Rattus norvegicus: one gene and its partners. The protein of the gene in region 3 purifies or fractionates together with the protein of the main gene of each other region. This does not show direct contact. Links are inferred from orthologs where the notes say so. Each region holds a gene or a part of one and is shown on either strand. Other genes may lie near its edges. The genes, in order: Fbxo11, Cdk20 and Foxj1.

Region 1 (7,069 bases), on a different chromosome or scaffold from region 3:
GCCTTTGGAGCAACATGTAGAACTCTCAGCTCCTCCTATATCATGCCTGCCTGGGCACTGCCGTGCTCCCACCTTGATGATAATGGACTGAACCTATGAGCCAGCCCCAATTAACTGTTGTCTTTTTAAGAGTTGGTCGTGGTGGGGTTGGGGGGTGCTGGGTTAGGGTTTTAGCTCAGTGGCAGAGTGCTTGCTTAGCAAGCGCAAGGGCCTGGGTTCGGTCCTCAGCCCCACCCCCCCACCCCCCAAAAAAGAGTTGGTCATGGGGCTGGAGAGATGACTCAGACACTAAGAGCACTGTCTGCTCATCCAGAGGTCATGAGCTCAATTCCCAGCAACCACATGGTGGCTCACAACCATCTGTAATGGGATCTGGTGCCCTCTTCTGGCCTGCACAAGTAACATGCAGGCACAACGCTGTATACATAATAAATAAATCTTAAAAAAAAAAAAAAGAGTTGGTCATGATGTCTGTTCACAGCAGTAAATCCTCAAGACAAAGAGCTGCTTCAAATTGATTCCCTTCACTATGGAGAGTGTGTGTGTCCCCTAAACAAGTTTCATTTATATATATTGGTTTTTATCTGTATGATTTGTATAGTTTTTATTTGTATGATTGATTGTCTTGTCTGTGTTTTGCAGTATGGGCCTTGTACATATAGGCACTGTTACTAAGCTGTAATTCTCAACCCCGATTTGTTTACTAACCTGTGTATAAGAAGTAGTTCTTCATCACATTGTACAGAATTACTTGCCACAAAACAGTCCTTGTGTTGGTTGACAGTGATGATTTTGGTGATTGTTCTGTAGTAGGTCAGCTACAGCAATGACAATCTTGGTCTGTACTACTGATTTCTACATAGGTGCAGGATCAGTTGTCAGAAATGGGACAACTGAGAGGCAGTTTGCCACCCAGCCTTCCAGAGAGCAGCGGAACAACCTGTCTCCTTTTGCTCCCTTTGTGTGTGTGTGTGTGTGTGTGTGTGTTTTCCTGGTTTTTTGAGACAGGGTTTCTCTGTGTAGCCCTGGCTGTCCTGGAACTTGCTCCATAGACCAGGCTGGCCTGGAACTCCCAGAGATTCGATGCCTCAACCTCCCAAGTGTGGGGACTAAAGGCATGGACCACAAACTCCTGGCATTCTTTCCTCTTCTTGGTAACACTCGTGTGTAAAGAATCTTTTGCATCTTGCATAATATGGTAGATAAAAATTATCACACTGTAGTTTTTATTTGTATTTCTTTAGTTTGGAACTATCTTTCCACATCTAATGTACCACCACAACTAGGCTATTGGTCATGTATTGATTTGTGAACAGATTGCCCCTTTTTAATGTATTACAGTCACTTTTTTTCCTAACCATCTTTTTCTTTTGTCTGTTGGTGTTTATGATTCAAGAATTTATACTATCGAAATTTTCAAGATTTTTAAAATTCAAACTGCAGAGGCCCCCAGCTCTTTAAAAGCTAACATGCCTTTTTACTCCCTAGTCTATGAGTGCATGCCCCTACAAACTAAAGAGCCGTGAAGTTAACACTAATACACCCTGTGCTCTACTCTTGGTGTCCAGATTTCATGTACTGGGGTGGCTGAAGGCGGGAGTGTTCTCACGGGAGCCACAGGTTGTGTGTAGTCTTGCTCATCTCGTCAAGTCCTGTTACAGAACAGCTGTGCTCTCCAGCTTTGCTATTCTTCATAATGGATTCATTGCTCTCCATCTTTGTCAGGAATTTCGTGGAAATTCTGTTGTGCTGTCTGTCGGGTGGTGCAGTTTTAGTCTGTCATTATTGATGTGAACGATGAGCTCCTATCGGGGTTGGCATTTATTGTTCTCCTAATCTGTGGGCAGATAACAATTGCCTGACTTCCAGTGGGTTACAGTTTGCCAGTTTGTGGCTTGTTATTTGATGCACTAGCTTAGTTTTGCCTTTTTAAGCTCACTTCCATCCATCCATCCCTCTCTACCTACCTACCTATCATCCACTATCTACCTACCTACCCACCTACCTACCGATCGATTGATCGATTGATCAATTAATCACACCTTTTTTTTTTCTGCCCCCAAGATATTCTAGGCTCATTTTGTACTTTCCTGCCCTACTACCCTGGGAACCACCATTTCTCCAACAAGTATGAAACTTTCCTTTTATAGAAAATGTTATTCAGAAAGCAAGATCCGACTACTAGCCATGCTCAACTATTTTGGGAAGCCTTGTGTTAAATGTGGGGAGAGCTTCTGCTGATGAGCACCCGTTCTGCACATCTCAATGTTCACACCTGTGTTCCTTCTATGGCTGGGACTTCACACTTTATGCCTCTAAATCCAGGCTCAACAGCAAAGGTTTTACTGGTGCTTTTTTTTTTTTTTTTTAATTTACAGCTGTTTTCTTGAACAGAAATCCAGGTTCCATTGCCCTGTGTACTTTCTGACTCATTTTACTCTGTTGTGTACCTGTCTCTGCTCTCACCTCAGCTGTGTGAGGCTCTTTCTGCTCTGCCCGAGGCCACTCCCTTTCCCTCCCTGCTGTGAATCTCTTTCATGCTCTAAATCTCTAGCACCATCTGGCAGGCCACCCTCTACCCGTTCACTTTTCCCTGACTGCTGTCTGGTACACAGAACTGAGCCGTCCCTCTCCCTCCACTTGGCCTTGCAGTGGGACAGCCTGCCTGCTCAGCTTGAGCTGCTCTGACCCGCTCTTCTCGTCAACACCTCTTCACCTCTTCCCACACCCCCTTTCTTTTCTTAAACTTTTTTCCAAGCTCTACAAGATATGGAATGTCTGTCAGATAGTCATCCGGTTGGCTGGAATTCCGTACAAAATTATGTTGTTCCTTCTCTTGCTGAATTTGAGATTTTAGTAAAAAGATGGATACCGTTTTCTTTCATCTTTGACAGATGATGTTCCTGCAGATATGGTTGCAGAAGAATCAGGTCCTGGTGCACAAAACAGTCCATACCAGCTTCGTAGAAAAACTCTTTTGCCAAAAAGAACAGCGTGTCCTACAAAGAACAGCATGGAGGTGACTTAATTGTAATTGTTTTTGTAAGGAAAGAATGGGTCAAAATTTGTGAGAATTATATACAGTGGGAATACTTGACTGACAGTTTCTTCTTGGTTTTGAAGGGCGCCTCTACTTCAACTACAGAAAACTTCGGCCATCGAGCGAAGCGGGCAAGAGTGTCTGGGAAGTCACAAGATCTGTCAGGTACTCCGAGAGGGAAGTAAAGTGAGACGCGTTTCAAAAGTTCATGTTTGAGCCTAGCATAGTAACACATGCCTTCAATCCTGGTATTCAGGAGGCAGAGGCAGGGGATTTCTGAGTTCAAGGTCATCCTGGTCTAGAGAGTATCGGGACAGATAGACAGGGCTTTATAGAGATGATGGTGATGATGATGGTGGCGGTAAGTGAAACTGAAAATTAAATATTATTTGAATATATTGAGTAGTTACTATTAAAAAATACATCAGAACCCTAATCCTTCCCTCTTTAACGTTTTTTAAAATGTATCTTTAATTTTAGTTATGTGTGTGTGTGCTTCTGTGAGGAGATTGTTGTACTTACCTAAATAGCTAGAAGGAGGGCATTCGATTTCCTGGAGCAGGATTTGCAGATGTGGTGAGCTTCAGGTTAGAGGTGCTGAGAACCAAAAAATGGGTCCTCTGCAAGACCAGTACAAACTTAAATGTTGAGCTATCTCTCCAGCCTGTCTTATTTTTATATAAAAGTTTTTTTTAATAGTGCTATGGTGTAGCCATAACACTAGCTAGCTACTTGGGAGGTAAAGGGCTGGGAGCTGGAAAATGAAGTTAAAGAGTAGTGAATTTAAGACCGACCTAGGAAGCTTCGAAAGACTGCCTAAACACAAAACAAACAAAAACAGCTAACACTGTGCATGCGTGTGTGCACATGCTTGTATGTACATATATGTAAGATAAAAGGGAAATACAGGACTGGAAGATGGCTCAGTGGTTAGGAACACTGCTCTTCCCGAGGTCCTGAGTTCAATTCCCAGCAACCACACGGTGGCTCACAACCATCTGTAATGAGATCTGATGCCCTCTTCTGCTGTGTCTGAAGACAGCTACAGTGTACTCATGTACACAAAATAAATAAAATCTTTTTTTTTTAAAAAGGAAATATATCAGTAAAGGCATATGCTGTTTGTTGGTGAGGAAGTCGTTGCTGGTAAATGACTTGTTATGTTCTGTTAATCTCTTTCAGCAGCACCCGCTGAACAGTATCTTCAGGAGAAGCTACCAGATGAAGTAGTTTTAAAAATATTCTCTTATTTGCTGGAACAAGATCTTTGTAGAGCTGCTTGTGTGTGTAAACGCTTCAGTGAACTTGCTAATGATCCAATTTTGTGGTGAGTGAAACCTACTCCTTGTTACCTTGAAGGATGCTGTGTGATGCCAAAACTGCCAGGGAAGGAAGTGGACGTGCGGGCTTCTAGTTATAACAAAGTAATTAAAAGAAAATTAAAATGCTTATAAATTCTGTTGCCTGGTTATCGTAAATGTGGAGAACTTGTTGATCCAAGAAATATTATAAATCAGGAATTATTTCTTTGTTTACAAGTTCATAACAAGCAAGTGATTTGGAAGGGAGTCTTTATGTATGGAGTCGGGTAGAGTACCGCAGACAGAATCTTCTACAGCACAGGGTGGCCGCAGAATGACTACGTAGCTGAGGCTGCCCTTACACTGCCCTCCTGTTTCAGCCTGGGATGCCATTGTATGTCACCACTCCCAACTCATTTTCTTTTTACATTTGGTTTTTGTTTTTATGAAGCAGCATTGGGTTTAACAAACACATCAGTATAGACTTAATGTGTCAGTGTAGAGATGCCCAGAAGTAGGATGTGCCAGGAGCATGGGTGTGACTTTACCAAAGAAGAGGCCGGTGATGCAAGGGTTAGTACAGGCTTCTCCAGGCAGTGCCGCCTCCTGTTTAAAAGCAGAGCTAGTTGGATATGGTAGCTCACACCTGGAATCATCCATCCCTAGCAGAGGGATGCAGAGTTTAAAGCCAGCTTGGCCTACAGAGAGAGTTGCAGGTCAGCCTGGGCTACAGAGTGAGACCACACACTGTGTGTGGTGAGAGTTGGTTTCTGGGCTGGAGAGGATGGTCACTGGTTAAGAACACTGTTCTCACAGTTTGTTCTCAGGACAACCAGTTGTAGGGTTCCAGTATCTTTTCAAGTCTCTGCAGGCACAGCACATATGTAGTGCATATAGATGCAGGCAAAACACACATACTTGGCTGGAGAGATGGCTCAGTGGTTAAGAGCACTGACTGCTCTTCTAGAGGTCCTGAGTTCAATTCCCAGCAACCACATGGTGGCTCACAACAATCTGTAATGGGATCTGATGCCTCTTCTGGTGTGTCTGAGGACAGCCACAGTGTACTCACATACATAAAATAAATTATAAAAAAACCACATACTTTTCTTTTTAACTTTTAAACTTTTTATTGTTTGTTTGAGGCAGGGTTTTTCTGTGTGTAGCCCAGGCTGTCCTGAAACTTCACTCTGTAGACGTAGTGGGCCTAGGGTCTGGATCTGCCTGCCTCTGCCTTCTGAGTGCTGGGATTAAAGACATGTGCCACCACTGCCCACCTTTTTAAAATTAGTCATTTTAAGAAATATTTCGACAGCTGGGTATAGTGCCACACACCTTTACTCCCAGTACTTGGGAGGCACAGGAAAGTGGTTGGATCCTTGTTATTTCAAGGCTAGCTTGGTCTACAGAATGAGTTCCAGGACAGCCAAGACTACATAATGAGATCCTGTCTGCAAGGGGAAAAAAAGAAAGTATTTTGTCTGCCTACTGGTACATGTCTGCTCCTAGCTACTCGGGAAGGTAAGGCAGGAGGCTCTCTGAGTCTAAGAGTTTAGAGCCAGCCTAGACAACAGAGAAGACCCTGCACCACCAGTACCATTGCAGGGACTGGTACATTAGTTAATTAATTTCTATATTTATTTAATTTGGCTATCCTTATTGAAATTTTGGTCATTCAGCTAACATATATTTAATATTTTATTAATCTAGAGGATATTTTATAAGGATATCTTTAATTTGTTTATCCCCTCAGGAAACGATTATATATGGAAGTATTTGAATATACCCGGCCTATGATGCATCCTGAACCTGGTAAATTCTACCAGATTAATCCAGAAGAATATGAACATCCAAATCCATGGAAAGAGAGTTTTCAACAGTTGGTATGAAATACAGAAAAATACAGACTTGTGTATTTGTAGATACATTTCTTTAAAAAAATAAAGTCATCTAGAGGGAGATGGCTCAGTGGTTAAGAGCATGCACTATTCTAAAGAACCTGAGTTTAGATCCCAGCACCCACAGGTAGCTCATAGATAACTTCCTGTTACTCCAGCTGCAGGGCATCCAGTGTCCTGTCTCTTCCGGCCTGCTTGGCCAGCTGCACTCGTACACAAACCCACACACGACGCCACATAATTCAAAGCTTTGTCAGGTAAACAAGTGCATGGAAGACTAGCTGTGGGCACAGCAGCACACACCTGCAATCCCAGCACACAGCACCCAGGCAGAAGATCACAGCCGAAGGCCAGCCTCTGTCACATGGACGACTGCTGCAAAGAAAAGAAAATGTAGGAAGCGTCAGTAGCGTGGATGGCCATGATTCCACTGGATCTGTTGAAATTTGTACATAAGTAAAAGGTCTTAGTAATTTAAAAATTCCACCCTTTTTCTTTTCTTTTTAAACAAGGTCTCACTGTGTAGTCCTGGCTGGCCTACAAAAGACCCACCCGTCTCTGCTGGGATTATAGACACACCATGCCCTTCATAGTTGAGCTTTCTTCTGTTTCTAGTCCGTCGGTGTGAGTGGTTCTCAGCTGGGGGTGATTTTGCTTTCTCAACTATCAGGGAACACTTTAACAGTCTTGAGATACTCTGTGTTTGTCAAAGCAGAAGAGGGCTCTTACCTCTAGTATTAAGTTTGTTAGAGGCCATAGATACTACTGAACCCCACCACTACATGGTTCCTGGGGCTGCTCCCCATGTCAAAGAATTATGTAGCCCAAAC
Region 2 (7,026 bases), on a different chromosome or scaffold from region 3:
ATGATTACCAGCTGACCAGAAGCTAATCATTTTTGCTGGTTAATTAATTTATATTTAACTTTATGTGTATGAACATTTTGCATGCTTGTATGTGTGTGCTTCATGCCCATCGAGGCCAGAAGAGGGCATCAAATTTCCTGGAACTTGAGTTACGGATGGTTGTGAGCCATTGAGTCAAAGTACTCTAACCACGGAACTGTGTCTCTAGTCCCAAGTTTTCATTTAAAAAAATACACTAGGGGGTGGGAAAATGGCTCAGTGGGCAGTGTCAATCCAGGTGAATGCCAGGTGGGTGTGATACCCCACCTGTGAGTCCAGGGCTTATAAGGTACTGGACAAGGGATCCCTGGAGCAAGCTGGCTAGTCAGATCAGTGTGTTGGTAAGGCCATGAATTCTATAGAGAGACATTACCTCAACATGTAATGTAGAGAACAGTTAAAGAGAAGACTTCTGACTTCAGCCATGGGTCTCCACATGCTCATGCACACATGTGAACACACAAATGCATGCAAACACACGGATGCATGTAAAAAATATGGAGTAGATTTGTCCCCAGTCTTTATATCTTCTTCACTAACTACCACTTCTTAGGCATCCCTTCGGGGGCTAGCATCCATATAGATTGCAGGAGCACAGGACAGAACAGGCATGTTCATCCTCTAAAGGATGTACTCTCCAGCTGGACATTGTGGTTTACACCTGTAATCCTGGTATTTAGGGAGTGGGGGCAGGAGGATGCAGAGTATTAGATCATCTTCTACATAGTGAGTTCAAGTCCCCACTGCTTCAAAAAAGACACTTATTTCTTGTCCCTCTAGCGATCTCTGTTAGCCCTTGGGTCTTGGACGTTCTGCTTTCCCTGCTCAGACCTCCTCCCCAGGCCTACCCCTGACCAAACCCCTTCTAAATAAAGTGTACACTCTTCCTTTGCTCTCTCACAGTCCCACCGCCCTCTGTTCCTAGTCCTTATATGTTCCTAAACATATTCTTTGTGGGCCATTTATTCCCTGTTTTCTAAGGTCCTCAGAGCCCTTGCATCCTAGCTCACTACCCGGTGCAGCCTGGGCCTTAAGACACCGGTAGCTACTGTGTGTGATGTGCCTACATTGTTTCAACACCAGGGGAGATGCGATTTCTGGTTATGTCTCCAGGTTGCCGGTTCCTGGTCCTAGAGATAATGAGTGACAGTTGGTACTTGGGCGTCCCTCTCCAGTTGATCTGCATGCGGGTAGGATGGGTTGAGCAGTGGGGTGCTTGCTGCTGCCCACCAAGTCACCTGATCTTTTTTCCTTATTAGCTGGAGAGTAGGGACCATCTTATCGCTGGATAGCAGAGCACTATCATAGTGGCCTGAGCTCTCTGGTTGTTTCTGTCTGGCCTGGTCTTCTGTCAGAGCCTGGGTTATTGGCGCTGTTGGTAGTGGGGTGGGAGCCAAGGAGGTCTGGAGGCCAGTTTAGATTCTAGAGGCTTATGGGATGTCTTTCCTCAGGTGGTACAGCTGAAGGCTGTGTTCCCACATGGTGCAGGCTTTGTGCTGGCTTTCGAGTTTATGCTGTCGGACCTGGCGGAGGTGGTGCGCCATGCCCAGAGGCCACTAGCCCCAGCACAGGTTAAGAGCTACCTGCAGATGCTGCTCAAAGGTGTTGCATTTTGCCATGCCAACAACATCGTGCATCGGGTTGGTACCAGTATGGGTTTTGTTGGGCCGGGGTGAGCTAGTCCTTGAAGAGGGTTCAGTCAGAGGGTCTTGAGATAGGGCTTTAAAGAGATGGGGGCCTGGCTGCCTATCTCCCTGTCCCCAAGCCCTGTCTAGGTACAGGGGGACTGATGCTCCTTTTTCTATGCACAGGACCTGAAGCCTGCCAACCTGCTCATCAGTGCCTCAGGCCAGCTCAAGATAGCTGACTTTGGACTGGCCCGGGTCTTCTCTCCAGATGGTGGTCGCCTCTACACACATCAGGTGGCCACCAGGTAGTGGAGCCATATCCCTGCCAGTCTTCTCACTGGGGAAGAGATACTTCTGCGCCTTTTGTTTGTTCCGGCGTGGGCTGTGAGGCTGGGATGAACTTTTTATCAGACCAACAATCCAGCTGTGGTCTCAAACCCTTTTCCCCACAGGTGGTACCGAGCTCCTGAGCTCCTGTACGGTGCTCGGCAGTATGACCAGGGTGTTGACCTATGGTGAGATACTTGGGGCAGACGAGGGTAATGTGGGCTGTGGGGATGTCCTCTCTGGTCAGAGCAGTCTGAGCATCGTGGGATCTGTGTTCTTCACCCTGATGCTTTTGAGTTGGTGTGGGGAGAGTTGGGAGAGTAGTCTCAGGTGAGAGGCTTCTGGGAATGGGGGTAAGGTAGTCTGAGGTACAAGGCGTGTAGTATGTTTTGGCATCTGACTCGAGGATTCTATAGCTGTGAGCTAGAGTGAAGCTTGGGTCCCTGAGTATGAGAGTTCAGCATTTCGGGAGAGTAGGGAGATGGTTTGTGGTGTCCAGAGGTCTGAGATTTGGGTTATTTTTCATATATGCCCAGCCCCCAAATCAAGGAGGAGCTGGGTGTCCCGGACATGAGGCTCTAAGGGTCTTGGAGCTGAAGGGGATACTCTGCTCTAGATGTCTGTGGAGGGGTAATACATGGCTGTACCTGAGACCTCTGGACCCTGACCCTGACCCGTGAGGAGTTAAAGCTTGTGTGGGTAGCTTGATTGCCCACATGTGACATCTCCAGCCGCTTAGATCTGTATCCACAGGGCTGTAGGCTGTATTATGGGAGAGCTGTTGAATGGATCCCCCCTATTCCCGGGAGAAAACGACATTGAACAACTGTGCTGTGTGCTTCGAATCCTGGGTACCCCGAGTCCTCGAGTCTGGCCGGTTAGTAGCAACCATTGCTGGGGAGGGGCCAGGTTTGCTCCATTCCCCAGTAGGAAGTGACTTATCCCTATGTAGGTGTCTTGGGCCCCACTCTCCCTTGACTAGTGAAGATCAATGTCTTGGCCTTGCAGGAGGGACAGGTTTTATCTGGGGTAGCATTTCAGTAAGCTGGGCAAGGAGCAGGCCTCAGAGAGCGGGAGGAGCTGAAGGAGAGCATGCGTGGGTGGTGATGGACTCTGGGCTGAATGAAGAACTGAATACCTGATCCAGGTGGGAGAGCCGAATCAGGAGTGGTGGGTGGGGCTGTTCTCATTGCTTTTTTTCTCCTCTGGGCTCAGGAGATCACAGAGCTGCCTGACTACAACAAGATCTCCTTCAAGGAGCAGGCACCAGTGCCCCTGGAGGAGGTGCTGCCTGATGCCTCTCACCAGGCCCTGGACCTGCTGGGTCAGTTCCTCCTTTACCCTCCACGACAGCGTATTGCAGCCTCCCAGGTAGGGTTAAAGGTTATTGTTCCCAATACTCTGCTCCGTAGCCCTGGGACCCTGCCAAGTCAGTGACTCTTAGAAGCCGAGTAGGGTAGAAACCTTGGAGATGGGGTTTTGATGGGGTGCTCTCCAGGAAGCTTCAAGAGAGTAGGAGTCAGTACCCCTGTTCTCTGTCCAGCCCTCTCCCTTGTCATTGGTTCGTTCCTGCAGTTGCAGGTGTGAGTGTCGTCTCTTTCTCACCCTGACCGCTCTTGCTGTGTTCCTATTCCTGTTTGCTCCTCTCAAGCCCTAGGCTTTCCTTAGGGCTTGTGCTCCTGTGTCCCAGCTCTTCAGTTTGCAGCATCTCTCTAGCCTTCTTCAGCCTTTCTCCCCAGCTTTGTCCTGGGAGACGTGAACTAGTGTCTGTCCACTGCAGATAGGACACTGATAACAAATCTGACCTGAGCTGAGCTTTAGTTTCAGGTGCTTCCTGGGACTTGTGAGTTTTCAAGGAGCCTCCTGTTCAGAGGGAATGTTTCAACTGGGTGGGAATAGCTACACGACACGCTTTCTCTATTGCTGGGGACATACTGTGCATTTTGCCCCTTCTTTGGTTTATGTCCCCCACCCCTTCCTCTGTTGGCAAGACTCTTTTAGCTCACTGCCATTTCCTAGCTGTTGGGCCAGTGCTCCAGACATAGGCACACAGGCAAGTTTTGCTGAGTCAGTTGAATAATCCTGGGGACAGATAGTGACTGGATTTCTTCTATACCCCTTATTTGCTACCCGCAGGCCCTTCTGCATCAGTATTTCTTCACAGCTCCTCTGCCTGCCCATCCGTCTGAGCTGCCAATTCCTCAGCGCCCAGGGGGACCCACACCCAAGGCTCATCCAGGGCCCCCCCATGTCCATGACTTCCATGTGGATCGTCCTCTTGAGGAGTCACTGTTGAATCCAGAACTGATCCGGCCCTTCATCCCAGAGGGCTGAGATGCTGGTCCAGTCCTTCCTGCTCAACCCAGGTGCACCGAGACAGCTACTCTTCTGCCTCATCCTGATTGGCCCCCATGGCCTCCCCATGGCTATATGTACCACACCCGGTTCTGCTTCTTAGCGTGCTTGAGGGCTGGGCTCTGACAGGCAGAACCATGAAGATGTTCACCGCAGCAGAGAAAGAGACTCACAGCCCCCAGAAACTGCCATCTGTGTTCTTCTCTGGGGCCATCTCTCAGTGGTGCTACCTGGCCTTAGAGAGATTCTCAGGGTCTGTCTCCTCTTCAAGGACATTGATACTACAGCACCACCTCGGGGAAGCACAGAGAATAAGCTGTCTTCATATGGGGACACAGCTGGGAAGTCAGACATGCTTTGGCTTTGGCTTCACTGGGTCAGACTTTGAGATTCATATAAAAGCCCTGGGTGTTTCTGCCTGTATTTGCACCTTGTCTGTTGTTGTTAGGGAAAGGGCCTTAATTCGTAGGGGTCAGGTACCCAGATGGTGCCTCTAGTAAGGGCCATTTGGGTTCTGAGACTTCCTGTGCTCTTCATGGGACTTGAGAGCTCACATGGGAGTGAGGTCCAGAAGTTGAGGCCCAGCAATGGGCAGTGCAGTTCCCAAAGCACACTTTCCACATGTTGGGTGTTAGTCAGTGAGCCAGAGCCTGCTGTGCAGATTCGAAGCAGGCTTTCCTGGAATTCACTCGGTAAGTAGATTCCAGTGTGACTCAGCCAGCTTGATTTTTATTTCATAGGAATATATTAAGATGAGTCTAAAAGGCGGTTCTCTACTTCCCAGTGCTGCAACCCCGTAATACAGTTCTCCCCCCAACAATAAAATTATTTTTGTCATGCTTTGTAATTTTGTTACTGTCATGAATCATAGTGTAAATCTATGTGACATCAAGGGGGTTGAGACCCACAGCATGAGAACCACTGGTCTAGATCCCGTTATTTCGAGGAGTAAGAGGAGAGGGCAGAGAGAAGATGATGAAAGGGCTATTGGCTATTCAGACTTATGCAAGGTTATATAACAGCTAAGACAGGATACTGTTTCAGGGATGGATTAGATAGGATCTTAACTACCATTATTCAGACATGTGACAAAATATGCTAGTAGTTGTGATGTACACCTGTAATCCTAGCACTCGGGTCTGAGACAGGAGGGTTCCTAAGAGTGGAAGGTCATGCTAGGCTACTGTGTAAGTCCTGTCTCAAAAGAAAGTGTATGTGTATGTGTATGTGTGCATATATGTGCATGCATGCATATATGTGCATGCATGTATATAATATACACACAGGAGATATGTTATATTTTTCAAATGTTTGTTGTAGGCCTAACATGTATTGGTCACTCTGTGAGTCCTGGCAGCGCAGAGGTGACTAACAGGGCTGGCTCCTGGCCTCAATGCTTACAAGGAAGAGCACAGATGCTCTTTTCAGGAGTATGATGTCTCTGGTCACGTCTTTGCAGACTCTAGGACAGTTGAGCTCCATTAGTTTCTTGTAGCTCTTTATGTATGCACAGGTGGTAGCTTGTGTCTGGACAGACTGATAAAAAGGTAGTGCACTTGGTGATTTATAAACCAATGCCTTCAGTGATCTCTGCAAAACCTTTTTTAAAAACTCTGATAACCGGGCACACAGGAAACAGTGAAAGGAACAGAAAACATCTTTGGGTTTCCAGATGGTGGACTCAGCAGAGACAGTGCAGCTACCACACTTGGAACTTTGTAAACTAGTAAGGTAGAATAGAGCAGGCACCGTTGAAAACCTTGTAACACATAAAACAAAGCACAGACACACAGCACACAGGAGGATGGTTTTACACCACCCCAACCCCAGTTTGCCTTGTTCTTTTCAAGATGAGAAGATAAGGTTGGCTTTGAACTCCCTCTGTGGCTGAGATGACCTTGATATCTTGTCTCCATCTTTCAAATGCTGTATTACCAGCCTGTATCACCACCCTCATATCATAGTAGTAATTTAAATGCTAATTACTAGTAATTTAAATCTCTAGCTGGAACAAAGGTGGTTACTTATATTAGAAGGAAGTGAAATAGGTATTTTCTTTCATGGCTAAATTTTTTATTTTCATTCTTCCCCCCCCCCCCCCATCTTTATTAAATTGGGTATTTCTTATTTACATTTCAAATGTTATTCCCTTTCCCGGTTTCCGGGCAAACATCCCCCTAACCCCACCCTCTCCCCTTCTCTATGGGTGTTCCCTTCCCCATCCTTCCCCATTACCACCCTCCCCCCAACAATCACGTTCACTGGGGGTTCAGTCTTGGCAGGACCCAGGGCTTCCCCTTCCACTGGTGCTCTTACTAGGGTATTCATTGCTACCTACGAGGTTGGAGTCCAGGGTCAGTCCACGTATAGTCTTTAGGTAGTGGCTTAGTCCCTGGAAGCTCTGGTTGGTTGGCATTGTTGTACATATGGGGTCTCGAGCTCCTTCAGCTCTTTCAGTCCTTTCTCTGATTCCTTCAATGGGGGCCCGTTCTCAGTTCAGTGGTTTGCTGCTGGCATTCGCCTATGTATTTGCTGTATTCTGGCTGTGTCTCTCAGGAGACATCTACATCCGATTCCTGTCAACCTGCACTTCTTTGCTTCATCCATCTTATCTAGTTTGGTGACTGTATATGTATGGGCCACATGTGGGGCAGGCTCTGAATGGGTGTTCCTTCTG
Region 3 (7,047 bases):
TTGTTCAGGGGAACATGAGATGTTTGGGAATCAAGATTAGTGACAGGTACCTAGGGTGAGATACCAGGAGCTTTAGACTTGGCTAGTGTGGTCCTGGAAAGGCTTTCCCCCAAACGCCTGTGCCCAGGACCCTGAGGGGAGATGGGGTTGGAGAGCACGGTCTCAAACCTGCTATGTAGCTGAGGATGACCTTGAACTTCTGATTTCCCTGCCTGGATTGCCCAAGCATTAGAATTCCAAGCCTGCACCACTATACAGCTCTCCTTTATGTGGCAATCACACTGCTAGGGGGAAATCTGCTGTGCTGCCCAAGTGTGATAGGCTGAGCTTGAGATCCCATCGCCCGTTCAAAGGCTACATCCTATTTTTTACTTGCCCAACATTCCAGTAGCCCCTATCACACTTAAGACTCACACCAGTGTACGCTGAGCAATACCTACATTTCCTCAAAGCCGGGAGCAGAAGCAACGGGGAAGTTCCCTTAGCCTGGGATGGTGGCACATAGAGCTGCCTCCTCCCCTCGAGGGCAGTAGGAAGGCGGTATTCAGTGTGTGGTGTGACCCGGGAGGAGTGGTGGAAGAAGCTGAGATGAAGAAGACGCAGGTAAACAGTGGCCAGGGACCCTCAAAAAAGCCATTATAATCAGCCCTTCCCTCTGCCACACAAGTGTTCCGCCCGAATTCATTCCATAATCCCGGCACCCGGGTTAGAGTACCCTTTGCTCTGCCTTGCACAGCTCTGCCCCCTCACTCTGTCCTTTTACTTCTTGGCGAGCAGAAATAGCCCATTCTCGGGGTGGATCCCCATCAGCTGACACACTCTACCCAGTCCATTTGGAAACAGTTCCTTTGTCAGGGTCCAAGCGAAAGGGCAAGCACGTTCTCTTGGTGCCTTTGGCTCCTCACCACACCACACCTTTCTATACGTGGTACTGTAGTGATCTCAGTCTCCTCAAGGAGCCTTTTGCTTTACCTAATTTCATCCCACCAGAGTTTTTACCTGCTGTGGCATCTGCCGGGCACAAACCTGAACACTAAGCCATCTCACTGGGGAGCTAGTCCTGTCCACCTGGTGTTGGCTGCTGGTTGCTCACTTTGTTTTAGGGCCTGCACACCTGGGGTGTGTGTGTGTGTGTGTGTGTGTGTGTGTGTGTGCCATCTGTGTACCCCTCACACTCCCTGGAGTACACTTGTGGGCACATTACAGTGGGGACATCAAGATGCAATATTTATGGATTGCTGCATGATTCTTAAAATTAAATAAAACTGTTTACAGGGGCAGGGGAGCCGTTAACTACAAAGTGAATTCGTGTGTGAACGTTTCTGTTAGTGGCTCACACCCAGCTCCATTCCTGACTAAGCCCTACCTACTTCTGCATCAGGCTTAAACCGGATCACTTCCAATCCTGCAGCTCGTCAATAATTCAAGAGCCCCAAAGCTGATGGCAGTAAGGGAAGCGAGGCCCAGAGGCCCTTATATTTATTAGTTCCTGTCCCTTAACCAGTTACTGGCTAAATCAGTGAACAAATGGCCTCTTTGAGAGGATCTTGCAGGCCCGTGGCTTTTCTGCTTTTACCCACTGGCTGCTTCCTAGGCTGTCTGGAAGGAGAGGCACCTTCGCAGATGCCCCTGGAATGCCAGCTTCCAGGAACTTGAGCAGGGTGAGTGGGTGAGCTGCTTACCGGGAGACGCTGGGTTACCCTACCCGCCTCGATGTGTCTGCGAGCTGTGTGGCCATTTCTGCGGATTATAAGCGACAGGTGGCATCAGAGAGTCAGACTTGCCTGTGGGCACCAGAGAAGACACTCAGGGACCAGAGAAAGGCCCCAGAAATCACACAAAGACCACTGGAAGCCCGGTGAGGGGAAAGACTCCAAGGGCACGCTTCCCCGAGACCTGGTCTGCAGAATCCGAGGGTGGGTCCCCTCAGCGGTCAAACCGTAGGCGTGGGGGAGGGGTTCCCGGGGCCTCGAGCGGGAGCCGAGCGCCCGCCGTGATACCCAGCGCGGGGCCCACGGGCGGGAATGCACAGGGTCAGATCTCGGTGGCGGGTAGGGGGCTGGGTGGCGCGGGAGAGGGCGGCAGAACCAGAGAGTTCCAGAGAGTTGCCGCCAGAGGAGCTGCAAGGGCCCGCGGTCTCCTTGGAGACGTGTTGACCAATGACAGCAGCGGAAGCTGTTTATGGGGGCGGGGCGTCGCCATGGCAGCAGGAGAAGCCTTCGGAGCGTCTACTTAATGCCGGTCCCCGGGCCGTCGGCGCTCAGAGAAGCGCCGTCGGGCGAGGGGGGGGGGGCGCGACGAGGGGCGCCAGCAGAGCCCTCGAGCTGGGGACAGAGAGCCGCGGGAGGTGGGAGGAACTTCTTCCAGAACCTTCCTCTAGCCGGCTGCGCTCTGAGCCAGGTAAGGGACTAGGAGGGCTGTGGACCACGGGATGGGAGGGCGCCGGGACCTGCTGACTATCCAGTCCATCGCTCGCCCACGGAAGTAGTGGGGCCAGTAAATGAGATCTGAGGAGTTCGGGAGATCGCTTCCTGCCCCTCCATAACTCGGTCCTGTGACCTTCCTTTCCCGGGACCCTTCATCTAATACCTCTTTTCAAGGATCAGATGACCTACTCTGCCCCATCCGCGTCGTACTGTCCCCCTGGACTATTGGGGTGTGATCTTAGTTTCTCACTCTTTGGGAAAAAGAATTAGATCGGGCCTTCCTTCCCTCTTCCCTCTTTGTGATCAACGAACCCTCCAAGGGCAGATGGAGAGAGGTGGAGACGCGGGTTCAGACCAGGGTCCTGTGTTAACCTGACCTCTCCACAGGCTGCGTGGATGAATGTGAGGGCCTACCCCGTAAGGCGCCTCTTTCCTCTGGGGTTAGGGGAAGAGTGCTCAGTTCCGTGGTGCTCCCGCAGGCCCCACACTCGAGTTCGGAGGAGGCGACCCCCGGGGTCGCAGAATGGAAGTGAGTGTTCTGGAGACTGAGTAACTGGAGTCTGGGGCACCAGCGGGCTGGAGAGCGCGGCGGGCCACTCCGGCTCAGCCTGTGGATGTTGACCGCCCCTTCGAAGAGTCCCCGCAGACATGGCGGAGAGCTGGCTGCGCCTCTGCGGAGCGGGGCCCGGGGAGGAGGCCGGGCCGGAAGGTGGCATGGAGGAGCCGGACGCCCTGGATGACAGCCTGACCAGCTTGCAATGGCTGCAGGAATTCTCCATTCTCAACGCCAAGGCCCCCACTCTTCCCCCGGGAGGCACCGACCCCCATGGCTACCACCAAGTACCGGGTTTGGTGGCGCCCGGGTCACCGCTGGCGGCAGACCCTGCCTGCCTTGGGCAGCCACACACACCCGGCAAGCCCACATCGTCGTGCACATCTCGAAGCGCGCCCCCAGGGCTGCAGGCCCCGCCCCCTGACGACGTGGACTATGCCACCAACCCACATGTGAAGCCGCCCTACTCGTATGCCACTCTCATCTGCATGGCCATGCAAGCCAGCAAGGCCACCAAGATCACTCTGTCGGCCATCTACAAGTGGATCACGGACAACTTCTGCTACTTCCGCCATGCTGACCCCACCTGGCAGGTAGGGGAGAAGAGGTGCGGGTGGTGGCCACTCCCTCCTCACGCCCTCCTTCTGGCACTTAGCCAGACAGGCATACCAGATCTGTAAGGCCAAAGAGGCACCTGGCTGTGAGGTCAGGCCTCTCCTGAGGCCTGAACCCTGCCAGCTACTGGAAATGCTCTATTTGGCGCCAGGGCCCTGGAGGTACAGATGAAGTTCTAAGGAGAAGAGGGACCGGGAGGGCTCAGTGTAGCCTTTTGTGGGATGTAACACTAAAGCACATTCATGTCCCATGTCCCAAGAATTCCTAAACAGTGTTCCGCCCAAGGAATTTGTCCGAACTGGACTCTGAAATGGAAGCCAGGCGGCCGCCCTGCCAGGTTCTGCACCCCACCTTTTGCATTTGATACAGAGAGTAAGGCAGAGATGAGCCCTACGGCTACAAAGATCAACTGATCACCTGATCCAGGAGCAGGGGTCATGAGGTCATCCTAAAGCCACTGACCCAGCCTCCCACCTCAACTCCTCCCCAGTTTCCTGCCTCTACCCCCACCTCCTCAGCCAGCCTCCCCAGGGGGGCAATTACCTGAGCCTGGTGCTTTCCACAGGGGCGCTGCTGCAGCTGCAGTGGTGGCTTCGGGTTCTAAGTCTCCAGGACCTGGCACAGAGCAGCCAGCGGGCCAGAATGCCGTGTAAACACCCCAGCCCTGTTAGCCAAAGGGGCACCCACTCCCCGGCCTTGCTAGCGTAGTCTGGGCCCCCCGGACACCAAAGTGGTGTGAGCAGAACTAAGCTGCCAGGCGTGAATAGGGTAAGATAAGGCTCAGTAGACAGCACTTTGGCCATCCTCCGATATCAAGATCCACGTGCTAGAGATGAAGCCTGGGGTTGTGCACTCTTCCCTAAGGCGGCCAAGGGGCAGGGAGCAGGATCACAGTCCTGAGCCATTCCAAAAGGGCCCTAACCGTGGGTCAGAAGATCCCCATCTTCCCCTACTCAAGGCCTTTGCCAACTCGGGTCCCAGAAAGGAGCCTTCTGCACTTGGCTGGGTAATAATCAACTGAGGTTTGGGTGGGAGGAGAAGGTTGTGTGTGTGTTGGGGGGAGGAGGTTAGAGGGTTGAAGGCCTAGGCCAGCAGCTGGCTCAACAAACAAGGAGTCACTAAATCTCCCCCCAACACACACACACACACACACTCCTTGGTCACCCAGCCCCCTCCCTTAACCCACCCACTTCACAAACAGAGGGAACCAGCCAGGCAAAGGAGATGGCAGTCCAGGCCGTGGGGGAGCTAAGGGCTTTGGCCAGGACCTGCAAGCAACAGGGTAAGGGAGGGAGAGAGGGAGGGAGGATGACAGAGAGGGTGGTACAGAGAGCCACCCTGTGGCTCGGAGCTCGGATGACTGAGCAGGCAGATATCCCAGCAACAGGGAACAAAAGCCCCCTCCCTGTCCCCCTCCCTCCCCAGCACTCTGGGCTCCTCATACCCTGTGGCTGGTGTCCCAGAGTCCCAGAGCTACAGCTGCCTGGTCAGGGCATCGGGTTGATCCGCCCCTCCCCCCCCCCACCCCGTCTGCAGGGAGGATGCAGGAGGAGCACCCGGTGCCACTTCACTGCCGGTCCCCTGACCCCGATGCCTTTTCTCTTGTTCTCTCGCTGTACCCAGAATTCCATCCGCCACAACCTGTCCTTGAACAAGTGCTTCATCAAAGTGCCTCGGGAGAAGGATGAGCCCGGCAAGGGGGGCTTCTGGCGCATCGACCCCCAGTATGCAGAACGCCTGCTCAGTGGGGCCTTCAAGAAGCGGAGGCTGCCCCCGGTCCACATCCACCCTGCCTTTGCCCGGCAGGCCGCCCAGGAACCCAGCACTGCCCCCTGGGGTGGGCCTCTGACCGTGAACAGGGAGGCCCAGCAGCTACTGCAGGAGTTTGAGGAGGCCACAGGGGAGGGAGGCTGGGGCACAGGAGAGGGAAGGCTGGGGCATAAGCGAAAGCAGCCGCTGCCCAAGAGGGTGGCCAAGGTCCTGCGGCCTCCCAGCACCTTGCTGCTGACCCAGGAGGAGCAGGGTGAGCTGGAACCCCTCAAAGGTAACTTTGACTGGGAGGCCATCTTCGAGGCTGGCGCACTGGGTGAGGAGCTGAGCTCACTGGAGGGTCTGGAACTAAGCCCCCCGCTGAGCCCCAGCTCACACGGAGAGGTGGATCTCACAGTCCATGGCCGCCACATCAACTGTCCTGCTACCTGGGGCCCTCCAGTGGAGCAGGCTACTGACAGCCTGGACTTTGATGAGACCTTCCTGGCCACGTCCTTCCTCCAGCATCCCTGGGACGAGAGTAGTAGTGGTTGCCTGCCCCCAGAACCCCTCTTTGAAGCAGGGGATGCCACCCTGGCCGCTGACCTGCAGGACTGGGCCAGTGTGGGAGCCTTCTTATAAAAGGTCAGGCCCCACCCCATCTCCGGACAGTGCTCAAGTCAGGGCCCAGAACTGCCTCCCAAGACAGGCCCTTTGGACATCCCAGCACCCAGGCAGGGACTGGGCCAGGTCGCTGGAGGGCCACACTGCTGCCAGCTGGGGATGTCCTCATATCCAAGCCCAGAAGAACTGGGAACTGGGGACTGCCTCCCCCTCATCAGCAACCCCCATACACACAGTGTTTCATCCACCCGTGTTCCCCCAAGCCCAAGAATTGGCAAAAGCACCCCTGCCCCTGCCTGCCCCCCTGTACTCCGAGAGCCGAAGCCCGGAGGGGTCCTACCTACCGGGCCTGGGAGGAACTGAACAGGGCCCTCACCAAAGCTTCACCTCACCCACTTCTGCTGCTTCTCCAGGTCCCTACCCAGAGAAAGTTCCCAGGTACAACAAATGGCTCGTTAGAGGATAACAAATTAACCCCCAGGAGGCCCCTCCCGGCAGAGTTCTCTCAGGGGCCCTGGCAGCCTTGGCCAGGGACAGCGAGGGCAGGGGACTGGGGAAGGGAACAGAAAGAGGAGGCAGAAACCAGGTGGGGGCAGCAAGGTGGGGTGAGATGGTCTCTAAGCCTTCTGGGGCCTTCTCCTGGCCCGACGCCTGTGAAGGGAGGCTGCAAGCTTTTGAGTCTGACTTGAGGGTGAGAGCAACAGGAAGTTGGGGCTTGGGGTGGTTGGGGCAGGGGCAGCCAAGCTGCTAGGTGGGGGGGGAGAGAGATTAATATAGCGACTGTAGTTATAGCTAAGACTTAACTGGGGAAGGGGTGCCTGACTTACTGGAAACACTGGGACCAGGAAGGGGACAAACCCTAGGCCCCTGTCTGCACTGGGGGGGACCAGGTCTTGCTCCACCTTGACCCCTGGGGCTGGAGCCTGTATCTACCCTCCACGTGGAGCAAGTTAACCTTTTTCATGTAAAGTTCTTTACAATAAAATTTTTTTTTCAAAATAAAATTTAAAAAAGAAATCTGAGCGTGGTCGTTCTTTCCAGCTGTCCGTGGGGAGGGCGAGAGCCCGTGTGGGAGCTTGG

What was found.
Region 1: the proteins of Foxj1 (region 3) and Fbxo11 purify together in Homo sapiens (affinity purification with mass spectrometry; 3 studies listed by BioGRID and IntAct, counting the BioPlex papers as one, with this or other methods). This does not show direct contact. The link is inferred for Rattus norvegicus from reciprocal best matches to the Homo sapiens genes FOXJ1 and FBXO11.
Region 2: the proteins of Foxj1 (region 3) and Cdk20 purify together in Homo sapiens (affinity purification with mass spectrometry; 3 studies listed by BioGRID and IntAct, counting the BioPlex papers as one, with this or other methods). This does not show direct contact. The link is inferred for Rattus norvegicus from reciprocal best matches to the Homo sapiens genes FOXJ1 and CDK20.

The regions. Positions count from the first base shown.
Region 1 is NC_086024.1:12,289,049-12,296,117, forward strand, and holds the start of Fbxo11 (F-box only protein 11), read left to right. Parts: upstream 1-2,893; 5' UTR 2,894-2,894; coding exon of another isoform or gene 2,895-2,911; coding exon 2,912-3,019; intron 3,020-3,123; coding exon 3,124-3,205; intron 3,206-4,222; coding exon 4,223-4,367; intron 4,368-6,094; coding exon 6,095-6,224; intron 6,225-7,069. UniProt on the Homo sapiens protein: Substrate recognition component of a SCF (SKP1-CUL1-F-box protein) E3 ubiquitin-protein ligase complex which mediates the ubiquitination and subsequent proteasomal degradation of target proteins, such as DTL/CDT2, BCL6, SNAI1 and PRDM1/BLIMP1.
Region 2 is NC_086035.1:705,033-712,058, reverse strand, and holds the end of Cdk20 (cyclin-dependent kinase 20), read left to right. Parts: intron 1-1,490; coding exon 1,491-1,679; intron 1,680-1,850; coding exon 1,851-1,972; intron 1,973-2,119; coding exon 2,120-2,182; intron 2,183-2,733; exon of another isoform or gene 2,734-2,747; coding exon 2,748-2,871; intron 2,872-3,209; coding exon 3,210-3,365; intron 3,366-4,130; coding exon 4,131-4,328; 3' UTR 4,329-5,196; downstream 5,197-7,026. UniProt on the Homo sapiens protein: Required for high-level Shh responses in the developing neural tube.
Region 3 is NC_086028.1:102,065,100-102,072,146, reverse strand, and holds Foxj1 (forkhead box protein J1), read left to right. Parts: upstream 1-2,905; 5' UTR 2,906-3,074; coding exon 3,075-3,572; intron 3,573-5,217; coding exon 5,218-5,985; 3' UTR 5,986-6,977; downstream 6,978-7,047. UniProt on the Homo sapiens protein: Transcription factor specifically required for the formation of motile cilia. Acts by activating transcription of genes that mediate assembly of motile cilia, such as CFAP157.